Linked DNA regions of Oreochromis niloticus. The protein of the gene in region 1 interacts with the protein of each later gene in a pairwise test. Links are inferred from orthologs where the notes say so. Each region holds a gene or a part of one and is shown on either strand. Other genes may lie near its edges.

Region 1 (6,981 bases):
GACAAGAAAGTCTGGAGGTTTTAAAATTACTAGCAACTTCATAGGTGCTGCTGCTGCTTTATAATCAATAAAAAATATCTTTCAGCCACCTGTTTTTGTTATTACATGCTTTATTATTCAAGATTTCTACATCAAGTTTGTAGTAGATTCACATTTGGCCCAATAAAAAAGCAATAAAATGTAAGATTTTATTACTGCAAAAAAAAACCCCAACTATATGCACAAATATATTTTTCTTTAAGTAAAAGTATATTAAGGTGAACAGATTATGTTTGCGCTTGTAAATTTAATTGCAAAACCTTCAGTTTACAGGAGATTTTTTTTTCAATAGTTGGCAGCAGTTGCAGAAAGCAGCAGTTTTGTTGGTCATAAAGGTCATAAAGAGCTGGATTAATCTTTAACAGCGTTAAAAACCTGTCGGATAAATGTACAGTGTGCAGAGTTTGCCTCAGGAATGTAACGGAGCACAAGGGTAAATTTAGTCCACAGCACCTGATGGACCAGTTAACCGAGAGCAGGCGACTGCAGAACAGGATTGCAGAGCCGAAACCAACGAGCTCCTTGGCCAACACATTCCTGCCTGATGTTGCGCTCATGACAAGAACAAAGAGAAATGCTGCTTGATGAGTTTGAAAAGACAGAAATGAGGAAGTGACTGGAGAGCCAAGAAAAACCTAAGTATAGACGAGGCGGTCACAGTGAATGAGCCTGGGTCTGAAACCAGCCTGGATTCACGTGGGTCCTCAGTCACAGTTCAGCAGGGCGTTAGGTTTAGTACAATGAGCACAACACTTTGTTAGCTGTCACACAGCTAAACTGGCTCTGCAGGTGTGGAGATCAATTATGAACCAACTTATCTCCAAGTTGTGTAAAGAAAACCCTCAAATCAACATAACTCAGATTGAAAAATGCTCAATCTTGAGGCACAGGCTCATTCTGAGCATCATTGTTGGGTTAAATGCCAAAAACCTTCCATAAAAAAAATTAAAAACTGAACACCACAATGATACTTCTGTTTAAGTCTTGACTACTTGAACCCAGACTGTTCTCTTTCCACCACTGTTAAGCTATTATTGTTATTATTTTATAAAGATTTCTACTTTTTTTCTTTTTTAAATTAGATAAAATATGTATCCTTCTAATTCCTGCTAATCTAGAATAATTTCACGGTCACAATTAGGGAGCAGCTGGTTTGCTCTGGCTCAGGACCTGTAGGTAATAAATGCTGAGTCAATGATGAAACACACAGAGGAGTGTTACTACACAGTTATGAATGAAACCAAGCCCAGGCAGTTACACGCACTCATTCCTCTGTTATCAATATTAATATTTCTCCCGAGTCCATTATTTTTTAAGCATCTTTAGATTTTCTTTGGTTTATTTATATCCCTTCATGATTATTGATAAACTGATGTAAACGACTCTATTTTTAATGGTTTTTTTCACTGAAATGCTGTAAATGATCTTTGCTTTCAACATTTGAAATACAGCACATTTTTAATTACTCATGAACTTAACTTTTCCTTTAAACGATAACGAATAATACATACTTTTATGCACACATTCCTGCTCATGGAAATGATTATTAACAGTGGATCATTTCGGTTTTCACGAGATGGTCACAAACAGACAAATCAGTCTTTACATGTGTCTCTCATTCTTATAGGAAAGTCTGTCCATATGTTCTGAAGTGTTTTCAGTGTACTGCATTTTAACTTTAAACATCTATCAGACCATCACTGAAAAATAAATCTGCCTTAGAAAACTTCCTTTTCCATTTTACACCTGGACAAAAAAAACCAAACAAACAAGCAAAAACAGAAAAAAACTCTAAACAAAAACAAAACAAAATGCGGCAGAATGCAAGAAAGTAAAACTTACCCATAAAATCCTCGCACGAATCATCCTGAAGTTCAAACCAGAAGCTGGACAGATGATTTTCCTCCTTCACAGAGAAGGCAGCAACATCAGCCTCTAATCTGGCTGGAAACGATAGTCCGAGCTCCGTGTGCGTAATGACACCACCCGGCTCGTTACGCATCACTTAAAAACACGGGGAAACTCCACCCCCAGAAGGGTGTGTGTGTGGTTTATTCAGGTGTGTGTGACACAGTGGAAATATATTACACACACACACACACACACACACACACACACACCTCAGAGTATCATAGGGATGGGTTCAGAAGCAGTAGGACATGTGAGATTTGTTTTGTTTTGTTTTGACATGTAATTGAACTCATCACATTCCTATCATTCTTTTGGGACTGCATAAAAAAAAAATCAACAATAGAAGAACAATAGAAACAGTTTAAATCAAATATAGATCAGCCAGCTCCCCGAATCTGCATCTTTATAATCTTTATATATCTATATCATATCTCCATATTACACAGTTACAGAGTGACATATGTGTGTCTCTGTTTTACAATAAAGACTCCAAATTGTGTGTAAAATACTTAAATTTAGCTCCACAGTCATAAAACGTAATATGACGTCAGTGACGGGACTCGCTGTGCTGCTCACTGAGTAACTGTAACTTACAGATTACTCGGGTTTTGAGCACCCTGATTTTTTCCCCCCAACTTTATTAAGACTGGCTGACATCAACGCAGAATGACAGAGCGTTAAAATCGTTCAAATACACTCAGTTATACAAGTATATTAAAATGTTTAAAAAGGTGAGGCTTTTTTTATTCTTGTTGTCCATTATTGAGTAAATATTTTGCTTTATATAAAAAAGTAACTGGAGAACTTGAATTCATGAACCACTGTTTCCTATTGGTTCCACAAAAAGTATAATTTAAATTGATATCACCTTCAAGTCTCTGATGGTAGTGGTTAGTTGGATAGAAGCTATGAAGCATTTTAAAAGAAACGTCCTTCATTGGTCAGAAAGAGTTCTAGTGGTAAAAACCAGACTTTGTGCCACCATTTTCCACAAATCTGGACCAGTATGTTTGAGAGGAGGGCGAACATGTGCAGCCCCGAAGAAACAGGATCTAGTAGAGAACAGCTCCAGAGACCCGAGGAAGCACTCTGATGGTGCGGGTTCGCGTCTTCGTGTGTTCAAAGAGCGCACGCACAACAAAACATAGCGCGTCTTTAAACTTGGAAAAACGGGGCTTGTTTGCCCCCTGGTGGCTTTTAATTCTTCTTCACTGTTTATCTTCATCCTCACACACAGCCTCTCTGACTGGAATGAAGTGAACATTTAAAGATTAAAACCACTGGAGACCTTAATCTCAAGGAATATACCACCTGTTTGTTCATTTTTTCCCTCATACTCAGGGACCATCAGGGAATACTATTCCCATTCCGAGCTACAAATTATTATTATTATTATTATTATTATTATTATTATTATTATTAGTCGTAGTAGTAGTAGTAGTAGTAGTAGTAGTGGTAGAAGTAAACTTTCAATTTTGTTTATTACAACTTAAACTTAATAAACTTGGATTTTGTCACTGAATATTATCTCGTCCCTACTATATATTTGAATCACTTAAAAAAATAATTACTGTGTGTGTTTATTTTATTTAATTATTAATTTTGTGTTTTCACAACTTTAACATCGTAAATTTAACATTTAACAACAATTTAACTATCATAATAGTTATTCCCCTCACTGAGCGATATTTTTATTTTATGATATATTTCATATATTGTACCTTTAGTTGTATAAATCTTAATTTTTATTCTCTCCGAACATTATCTCTCTGTCCAAGCACAATATTTTATTTATTTAATTATTATTATAATTATTTTATTTTACAACTTTTAGTTCATAAGTCCAGACTTTTTGAGCTTCATATTAATTTGAATTGTTTTTTCTTAGTCTTTATTTGTTTCTTCTTTCACGCGCTCTCTTTTTTTTCTTTACAATTAAATTAAATGTAATGTAATTTTATTTGTTAATGGGCCTAATGCCGAGTAATGAATTCCTGCTCTCTGCACTGTGACGAACTGCTTGGCGGCTCTGTGGTTTCCCAGCGGACCGTGAACGTACCTCCCGTCAGTTGGAGCTCCGCTCTGCGTCAACAGCCGCTCCGGTGAGTGTCTCTCCGTTTGTTTGTCTGTTTTTCGGGCTGTTTCGGCACGTTACCGTTAGGAAGACTGACCGACTGGGCTGCTGTGCACGCGGAGGTCCGGTGAGTCCACCTTTAAGGCCTCGTTACAGTTTTTATTTTAATCCGTGAGTCGCTGAGTTGGGCGAACTTGCTCAGCCCCACTAGCTTGCGTGCTACATACAAAAAGCATCGATGCGCCCATTATCGGACAGCGTTTCTCCTCTCTCTCAGCATCACTCCGTCACTCTCTCAGTTTTCTGTGTTTTAAAGCGAATCCGCAGTTTCATAAATCCGTGCATTCATCTGTTTGATGTAATCAATGAAATTAGCTAGCCGTGGCCAGGCTTAGAGCAGTGGCCGATAATGGAAGCAGGGGTTCCCTCTGCAAGCCATTCCCTGATGTTTACTGAATGAGAAGGACGGATGTGTTTGGGTTTTGTTTTGTTTTTTTGTTTGTGTTTTTTTTTTTAAATAGTTCTCTTCTTGTCATGTGCTTCATTTCCGTGTTTTAACACACCTGTGCCCACACTCACCCTACTAATGTCAAGTAATTGGCCAGCTAACGTTAGCTGCTCAGCTAATCCTTAGCCCGATGTAGCAGCGAAACCCGAAGCTCCGCGCAGAGACGCCGCTATCATGCATCTTTCAGACAGCGTCAGGTGACAGCCCTTAGCTCTCTAACTTCAGCCCCCCGCAGGTGCTCACGTATTAATGCATTAGCATAATAGGTAACGTCACTTAACGTGCTATCCGCGGCTAATCTATTGCTAGCTGTCCACAAGACACCACCTGAGAGCAGGAGTAGCTCACCTGGAGGAATGACCTCCAGCGTACAGGTGACACTGTAAGCAGCCCATCTGGGTGCAGGGAGAGCTGGAGGTCGGGTAAATGAGCAGAGACGCTGTTGCAGGTGTAAACTCAGGTGATATTTGTGCACATGCTGCAGTTTTTGTGCTGAGCTGGTTTCTCTGAAGTACTACAGTGTGTCAGGACCACTGAAGGTAAGAAGAGGAAACCCCAGGGCTCAAAAAAAATTAAAACCTGGCAGATTTATGAGAAAAAAAACAGTACAAATATAGACGACAACACCTGGCACATTTATGGCAAGAAATGAGAAAATTTATCAGGAAAACCTGGCAAAATTTCAAATACAAATTGTACATTTACACATTTTATGAGAATTAACCGGCAAGTTTTCAAGTGAAAATTTTTAAATGTACAAGAAAACAAATGTCAAGTTTGTGGGCAAAATAGGAAAATGTACGAGATAAACTGGCCAAAAAAACCTTAAGTATATCTGCAATTAAAAGAAAAATCTATTTAGAAAAACTACCAAATTCACACAGAAAAACTTAAATGATTAAAAAAATCCAAATTTGCAGCTTAATTAAATTTATAAGCAAAACCCTGCAAATTCACAAAAAAATTCCATTTTTGAAAATAAAAATATCACATTTCCAGTTTTAGAAAAAAAGGCAAATTCTTGAAGAAAAGCTGGAAATGATTTATTTTTTAAATTGCCAAGTAATTTTTAAAAAAATGTAGAAAAATGTGTGAATAATTACCAATAAATGAATGCAAACTGACCTCCCTTTGCACTTTACATATCGAGGAGTAAGTATAAGAAATCTACAGGCTTAATCCTATTATTGAACAGACCCAAAAGGATTTTAACGTCTGGCTTGTTCTGCTCAGTCTTTAAATCCTGATAATTCAGTTGATACATCTGATTATGGGAACAACCATTACCTGTACACATCTGTAAGCACACAGAAGTTTCATAGGCTTCTGGATCAAACAGGCTCTGTCAGGCCTGGTCGTCGTATGTTTGGTGAAGCAGGTATTCCTTCAATGGCTGTCTGTGCGAGACGCTCTTATTTTTTTGGAGATGTATTAAAGGACGGCGTTCACCTGTTCTTCTTTCTGTTAAATGATAAATGCAGGTCAGTGCCACGGAGCCCCGGCACCTTTATTTTGACCCATTTGTCACCGCAAACTGTTGATGGTGAGCTTTTCATTGTTGTGGTCAGTCGAGCTGTTTGGGATTCGCGTAAACACCGCCACTGAGACACAGGATGAGCCTTCATCGGGCGGCCCGAGTAACCCGGTCTTTGCACGACGTGTCGGGTTACCACGCCAAGCTCTCTAGGACTGGTCTCTATGGCGACAGGCAGGCAGGGAAGAGGAGTCAGGTTGTTTTTAATGAAGGTGGAGTTTCACCTGTGTGTGTTCATGTCCATCACCATGTGTCATACATCCTGGATGAGTTTGTGCTGATGTGTTTTTCTTGCGGCACAGTGTCAGACATGTGAGCTGTCTTTCTTTCTTTTATATTAATATTTTATGGGATGAATAATTAAACCAAAATACCTTAAATTATCTAAAATCACCATCTTTTGCAGTATTTGATTGTTTCAACTCTCTTTGTTGGTTGGAAGTTGTGATTGGTTGGTGGAATTTGGCTCTTTAACCTCTGACAGATATATCCTAATCTGACATTACTTCCTGATTTCTGTGCCCCGTGTTTGAAACCACAAACCTCCTCAACAAACCACACAAGAGGAAACAGGAGATTCATTTATATCAGGTATCATCAGCAGTTTTTTGTAGTCTGATGTCTGATTGGCCTTGAATGCAACGTTAATGCCTGCTGTCAGCTGCATTCCAGCATCAGTGAAACTCGGACCAAACAATGACACGACTCAACGTTAACGGAGTCCGAGACACGGCATCACAGCTGAGGATCATTTCCCAGCATGCCTCACTGCGGCGGGAACAAAACCCCTAATCAGGCCTAATGACGGGCGCAGAAGAAGAGATGACATGATGATACTGACGGAGAAACAAAGCAGTCACTCAGCATGCTCTTAAAATACAACGAGGGAGTGACAGCAGCTTTATTTGTACTTAA
Region 2 (7,077 bases), on another chromosome or scaffold:
GGGGGGCATAAAAAAAATCAAGATTAAGATGATTTTATCCAAAATCATCTTAATCTTTTTTATCCAAAATCATCTTAATCTTGTGCGGATTTTTTTTCAAAGATAGAAAATAAAATGTAAAAACTGTCGGGAAATCAAAAGAAATAGGAAACTGAAACTTTAAAAAAAAAAAACTAAATTCTTGGTTCCTTTTGTACATATTGACTCATGCTTTCTGTCTGAGTGCCGTCAGGGTTTGGTTGTGTTTAATCCAGGTAAATCCGACGGTTCAAGCACTCACAGATTTAAAGTATGCGTGTCACAGAATCAGAAGTCCAAATATTAAGTAAGATACATTAACAGTCCATACTTACATTTAAGCAAGATAATTCAACAGCGACGCTGAGGAACAGGAGGACAGGAAACGTAGTAGATGACAAAATATACAACTGCAGTAAAAACTGTTGATGATGTGCTTCATTTGCCTCTAAGTATTAAAAGCGCCTTTAACGGGTACGAAATGTGAGCGCCACCACGTGGTCAAGAATTACACAACGCTGTTTTTACTTATTGGCTTCAGTTTAGGTAGTTTCCAGAGTTACAGTTAATTTCACTTGTTTCAGTTTATTTGAAAAATGTTTAATTTTGATTTACTTTTTTTTTACTTTTTGATATACTTTTTTACAGTTAGTCATGTTTTCAAAAATTCACAACAGACATTTCAATACAAACACCACTTCTCGAAGGGCAGCTGGTTCACAATACTGTAGACCTCCCAAATCTAAAGAAAGAAAGATTACAAAGCATCATCAGGCCACTGTGATGCCAAAGGTGACTAAAACTTAAGGCCTTTCCTGTGTGTTTTTATTTTCACTTAGTTTTGTGATAACACAAGTACTTTTCAGTTATCTCCCTGCCTTCCCTCTTTTTTTTTTTTTTTTTTAATTTCAGGTAACTACACAGACTTGGGTAATTTGAGGAGCAAGGTGGTGAGGTGGTTAAAACTGTCAACTCACAATGTGAAGGTTCTTGGTTCCCTGGGCTTCCTGTCTGTGTTACTTCTCTCCATGTACTCCAGCTTCTTCCGCAGTCCACAAATGTCCATTGTAGGGTTAACTGATGATTCTAAATCGACCATGGATGTAAGTGTATAGCTTAAAGTGCTGCATAAATGTATAGTTCAAATTGCTTTGAATGGTCAGTAAGTCTAGAAAAGTGTTGTATAAATGCAAGTGCATTACATTACACAGAGGAGTAATGGTAGATTTAAGTGCAAAAGGAAGGACTGCAAGCTCCTAATACGTTTATTCACTGCCAGTAGATCTTATTACTACTGGTGTCATGCAGTTCTGAGGTAACAATTATTCACTAGAAAATTATCTTTTGATAGCAATGTAAAATTCTCCCTTCAGCTCTCAAGTGCAAAAACATACCATCAATAAGTTAATATCACAAGTGCTTCAATTGGATTAAAGTATAGTCTGACTTTATGGATGGCTGTGTTAACATTCTTAGAATTAATAATTAAAGTTGGAGTCAATTTAAAGCAACACAAAATGCATCAAATAAAATTATAATAGATACACAGTACATCAGCATCACAGCTTTTGGTGTTATTACTACTGCAGGTTTTCTAGAGATTTAAGGCTTTACTACTAAGTGCATATTCTTACGATTCCCGTCATAGTAAAGCTTCTTTGGCTAAAGCTTAACTACACTGTAGTGTGTTTTGAGGTCACATGTAGGGTGGGCTGCTCACCACGTATGGAGTAATGAATTTGTCTGCCCTTTGTATTCTTAGGCATCAACCAACTCTGATGTGACTGTAGACACCGAATCTGGTGCGCCAGAATGTCATACTAAAGAGATTCTTTTAAATACACGGGGTGGAGCGAGTCAGAAACCAAGGGCACAGTGATGATGTAGGTCTGATCAGAAACGGTTTATTTCCAGGCCAGGGAGCAAGAATGAGAAATAATTCTAAAAACATAATAAAATGTTGTCAATACGCTAAAATTCCCACCGAGCCTAGATAAAACAATTCTAAAACTGGTAAAAATGCAATTTTCTGTATGCTCTAAAAATCCCACCCAGTCCCACAACCCAGGACGAATGTTCGTTATGGGTTCACAGGCCAGAAATTCCTCTTGCGGAGCTGCGTGCATGCCAGAGGAGCCTCCGATCCCCTTCTCGTCCCTTCATTGGGCCCATCACTTCCCAGCCCAGCTCGCATTCTGCACTGGAGTCCGTTGCTCGATGCCATCGCGCCTCTCCTCGCGTCATCGCCCTGTAAACAAATAGGGGCCAGAACCATCGTCCTGGAAGCTGCCCTGGCTTATAGCCATGGCGACCCTCTCCCAACACGGCTGCACCTGGTGAACAACAGTGGAGACACTACTCACAAATGCAGGCAGAGGCATACCTGTGCCCTGCTGTCAATCACAGGCGTTGTCTCCTACTGTCGCCGTTCCTGCTGTCGCTACCGGTCCGTCTCCAGATGAGGCGTCGCACCCCCACGATCAGGCAGCGGGTCCCTTTTGTTTTTTGTTTTTTAGATGAAACCTGGCCTTCATGCTTTCCTTTTCATATCTGGAGCCTCTCTCCTCCCAATCCCCAGCCAGCTTCCTTTTAAAAGGTCCCTTAAACAGCTGATAGGCCACCTCTGGACACACCCATGTCTCAGGTGATCACTATCAGCTAATTTGTCCCATGCCCAGCCAGTCCACAGTGGATTAAAACAATGTCAAATAAACCACTTAAAACCATGCAATACAAACAGAATAAAATCATGCAAATAAAAACTACACTCACAAATAAAGACTAAAAAACAGAATAAAACCAATGTAATAGATAAATACAAATTTCCACTGTGTGACATGACCATTCAATCTCAAGTAACATGACTTATTCTTCTTCTCCATCTTCTTCTTTCATCTGCCACCTAAGGGGTCACCACACCAAATGATCTGCCCTCATCTCACTCCATTGTTACCATCCTCCTCTGTCAACCCTCTGCATCTCCTCCTTCACTACATCCACGAACCTCCTCTAAGGTCTTCCTCTTTTCTCTTTTATTCTTTCCTACCTGGCAGCTGCATTTAGCATCCTTTGTCCCGTATCTCCACCATCCCTCCTCCAAACCGTCTCAGCCTGCCTCTCTAACTTTGTCTTCAAACCACTCAACTTGAGGTGTCTCTCTAAAGTAATTATTTGTCCATACTGGTCACTCCGAATGAAAATCTTTATCTTTAGTTCTGGCTCCTGTCTTTTTGTCAGCACCACCATGTCTAAACATGAATCACAGCAGGTCTACCTTCTTGTAAACCTTTCCTTTCACTTTATGCTTCTCTTACAATCGCCTCCACCAGCTTCACCCTGCCTGCGCTCTCTTCTTCACCTCTCCTGTGCACTGTCTGTTAAGTTGGATGGTTGAATCCAGGTGCTTAAACTTATCCACCTTCACTCTGCTCCTTCCAGCTTCATCGTTCCATCTGTCTCCTTCTCATTCATTCATTCAAGTATTACATACTTATGTTATGTTACTTTTTAATTTTAGTATTATCTTACTTGTTTTTTCATTTGTTCTCAGTTTGATTTGTCTCTACATTCATGTTTTTAAAAAATGTTTATTTAGGATGTATTGCCTTTTTCATTTATTTTAAATTGATAATCATTATATGTTATTTGTTTTTTGTTGTTTGTTTTTTTACATTTTGCTGTGTCTTTTAAGTGGTTCAAAGTCCTGTGAACCACACTAACCTAACACACTAACCTGAAAGGCACAACTAAAATTTCATTGACTGTAAATAAATAAAAATAAATAAAAACGCGATCTTCAGTTATTAGATATTTGTCAGTCCGCCACTCTCCAGCCAAATCCAACAGGTGGCAGTGATTTAACTCCAGTGTGCTTTGCTAGCAGCCAATGAATCAAAAGTAAAAGAATGTCAGGCCTCACAAGCGTCCGTTATTGGTCTAAGGCGATCACGTGATTTGTACACGAAAGGAGGGCGGGGGGAGGGCAAACATGGCTGACGAGGCAGGGGAAGTAAACACAGCTGTTACAGAGCGCGACGAAAAACAAGAACAAGATGAGCCCAAAGTTTTAGGACCAGCGACTAATGGCGAACCGGATGGTGGCAGCGAGCAGGACTGGACCGAGAGGCCGGCTCCCCAGGTCGCAGAGGAGAACAGCTGGTCGGCTCCTCTCCTGTCTCTGGCTCGTAAGGCCACGGAGACGATTAGCAGCGGGATCAGCTACGCTGCTGTCCAGAGAAAGCCCTCACAGGGATCCGCGGCGAGCTCCCCGACCGAGAATGAGGCCGAAAGTGACCTCAGTAACTCAGCGAAAAAGCTTCCAGGTAGACTTTGATTTTTCTGATGCCTGCTAGTTAATGCACTTGGAGATCGAAACATTGCAGCTGTCACAGGCACTTAAACACTTGACTAAGTGTCAGCTGTCACATCACATGACTCCAAGATCAGACTCTTGGTTTTTTTTGGTTAGTGAAGTGCTCCTTGGCTGGTAATGTGTTTGGGGTTTTTCCGGCTATGTCATCTGACAGAATTAACCTCAGAGCTTCTGCTTTTTTTCATGCTTTCTGTACAGTTGTTCCCCCCAAAGACTCAATGGCAATAGAAAGATCCAACCTGCTCAGCATGCTGAAGCTCAGCATCAGAGTGTTGATTCAGTCTTCTATGAGTCTGGGCAGGACGCTTGACTCAGAGTACCCTCCTCTGCAGCAGTTTTTTGTTGTCCTGGAGCACTGCCTCAAACATGGCCTTAAAGGTTAGACGTAAATAAATCTGACTGTTGCTGTTGTGCTATATTTATCTGCCTGCATGCTGAATTTAATTCTGCATGCTGTCTGATTCAGCCAAGAAATCCTTCATTGGTCACAACAAGTCTATATGGGGACCACTGGAGCTGGTAGAAAAGTTGTGCCCGGAGTCTGTCAACATTGCCACCAGTGCCAGAGACATGCCCGGCATTAAGTATGCCATTAAAAAACATATTTCTATAATAAAACTATAGAGATCACAGCTGTGTTTAATTGCACTTATACTGTCATTCTTGTTTGTTTGTTTTTTCCTAGGACCGGTTTGGGGAGAGGAAGGGCTTGGCTGCATTTGGCGCTTATGCAGAAGAAAGTAGCTGACTATATGAAGGCCCTGCTGGACCACAAAGACCTCCTGAGGTCAGTTACGCTTGTTTTATAGTGCATTATAAACATGGGTTTCTTCCCAGCATCCACTTTACTTTTTAAATCCCTTAGTGAGTTTTATGACTCTGGAGCACTGATGTTGGAGGAGGAAGGGTCGGTAATGGTGGGGCTGCTGGTGGGCCTCAACGTAATTGATGCTAACCTTTGCATTAAAGGGGAGGACCTTGATTCACAGGTTAGTGATGCTGTTTTGTAAGAATCAGTTTCACTCTGAGGAACAGTTGCATCGAGATACAGAGTGATCTGCTCTTCTTTCCCATTTAGGTAGCAGTCATCGACTTCTCACTTTATCTGAAAGACCCTGCCAGCAATGAGACTCCAAAAGAGTAAGCATCTACACTGCTTTACATTATTATTTTAATCAGGACTGTTCTATATTGTTATTACTGTTTAAAGAATGACCCCGTATTAACAAATCCTTGCAAATTTTTGTATAGATATGTCTCACAACTATAAGATGGTGATTGTATCGCTTCCTCCCTTAGTGATTCGAAGATGACAGCCATATTGGATCAGAAGCACTACATCGAGGAGCTAAATCGTCACCTAAGCGGCACCGTCACTGACCTTCAGGCTAAGATGGACTCTCTAGAGAAGACTAACAGCAAGCTCGTAGAGGAGGTTAGGCGTGCTTTGTGTGTGCAGCTGTGGGACTCTGTTTGCGCTGGATTGATCCTCTTTAACGTCAGCTGGTATCTGTGTGTCTTGTTTTTCTCCTTTTCCTCAGCTGACAGCCGCCACAGACAGAATCAACTCTCTACGGGAAGAACAGGAACAGCTGAAAAAGGAGAACGAGACGATCTTGCAGTCCAGCCAGAGAAAGGAGGAGGTGTGGGGAAAAAAAGTATCTGGGACTAATTGCAGCTGAAGCCCCTCCTGATTTTAAGAAGGAATGAAAAATGCCATGTTTTTATTTTTCAGGCAGTGCTTCAGGACAGCCAGGCAGAGCTGGAGACATACAAACAGACTAGACAAGGCCTGGATGAGATGTACAATGTGGTGTGGAAGCAGTACAAGGAGGAAAAGCGCATTCGCCAGGTCAAGTATCAGTGACCTCCAGGACAGTTTGAACCAACACTCCACACCTGGTGTTTTGGGGTTTTGACTCAACTCTAACTGAATTTGACTCCCTTGTGTATTAGGAGCTGGAGCGTGAACTGGAGCTGCAGGTGGGAATGAAGCAGGAGATAGAGGTGGCCATGAAACTGCTGGAGAAAGACACGCATGAGAAACAGGACACGCTGGCAGCCCTACGGCTCCAGCTTGACCAAGTCAAGACTCTCAATGTGCAGATGTTCCACAAAGCTCAGGTACAAATAGATGAGCATGATTATGACTTTGTCTTTCGCACTTACACACACACATACACACAGATTGCGCATTTGTCCAATTCATGTGGTTTCTCAGGACTCGGACCGCCAAGCAGAAAAAAAGCAGGCAGAGGCCGTGCAGCTTGAGCAGAGGATGAATGAAATGGAGAACACCATGAAGGAACTTGAGCAGAGGTATGCGTGCTTGCCCAGGGTGAGATTCAGTTTCGCGTTTACATTCCTTTAAATTGACGCTCCTCTTCATATTTTGTGACTCATAGACTACAGAGGTCGGAGCAGGAGCGCAAGCAGAACGACCAGTCAGACGAAGACATGAAGGCGGAGCTGCAAGGAAAAGTCGATGCTCTGCAGAAACAGCTAACAGATCTCGATACGCTAAGGTGAAGAATCGCAATTGTGGGCATGGAGAGGGGGGGTATTGAATGTGGTATTAAGCAGTACATAGAGAAAAGGTTCATAAAAGGGCAAAGTTGCAAATGTGATTCACCTAAAATGTTTGTTCTAAAAGTTTTCTAAACATTGTGTAGCCCGAGTCCATGCAG

The links. The genes of interacting proteins can lie anywhere in the genome.
Region 2: the proteins of rab3ip (region 1) and rufy1 interact in binary tests that used the Homo sapiens proteins (3 or more experiments, as listed by UniProt). The two-hybrid records come from large-scale screens. The link is inferred for Oreochromis niloticus from reciprocal best matches to the Homo sapiens genes RAB3IP and RUFY1.

The regions. Positions count from the first base shown.
Region 1 is NC_031981.2:19,555,584-19,562,564, reverse strand, and holds the start of rab3ip (rab-3A-interacting protein), read left to right. Parts: upstream 1-3,900; 5' UTR 3,901-4,052; exon of another isoform or gene 4,053-4,151; intron 4,152-4,603; exon of another isoform or gene 4,604-4,729; intron 4,730-4,833; exon of another isoform or gene 4,834-5,071; intron 5,072-6,981. UniProt on the Homo sapiens protein: Guanine nucleotide exchange factor (GEF) which may activate RAB8A and RAB8B. Promotes the exchange of GDP to GTP, converting inactive GDP-bound Rab proteins into their active GTP-bound form.
Region 2 is NC_031966.2:28,809,758-28,816,834, reverse strand, and holds the start of rufy1 (RUN and FYVE domain-containing protein 1), read left to right. Parts: upstream 1-3,969; 5' UTR 3,970-4,006; coding exon 4,007-4,340; intron 4,341-4,588; coding exon 4,589-4,768; intron 4,769-4,856; coding exon 4,857-4,974; intron 4,975-5,075; coding exon 5,076-5,177; intron 5,178-5,255; coding exon 5,256-5,379; intron 5,380-5,468; coding exon 5,469-5,530; intron 5,531-5,689; coding exon 5,690-5,825; intron 5,826-5,931; coding exon 5,932-6,033; intron 6,034-6,125; coding exon 6,126-6,242; intron 6,243-6,346; coding exon 6,347-6,514; intron 6,515-6,611; coding exon 6,612-6,709; intron 6,710-6,795; coding exon 6,796-6,915; intron 6,916-7,077. UniProt on the Homo sapiens protein: Activating adapter involved in cargo sorting from early/recycling endosomes. Regulates retrieval of proteins from endosomes to the trans-Golgi network through interaction with the dynein-dynactin complex.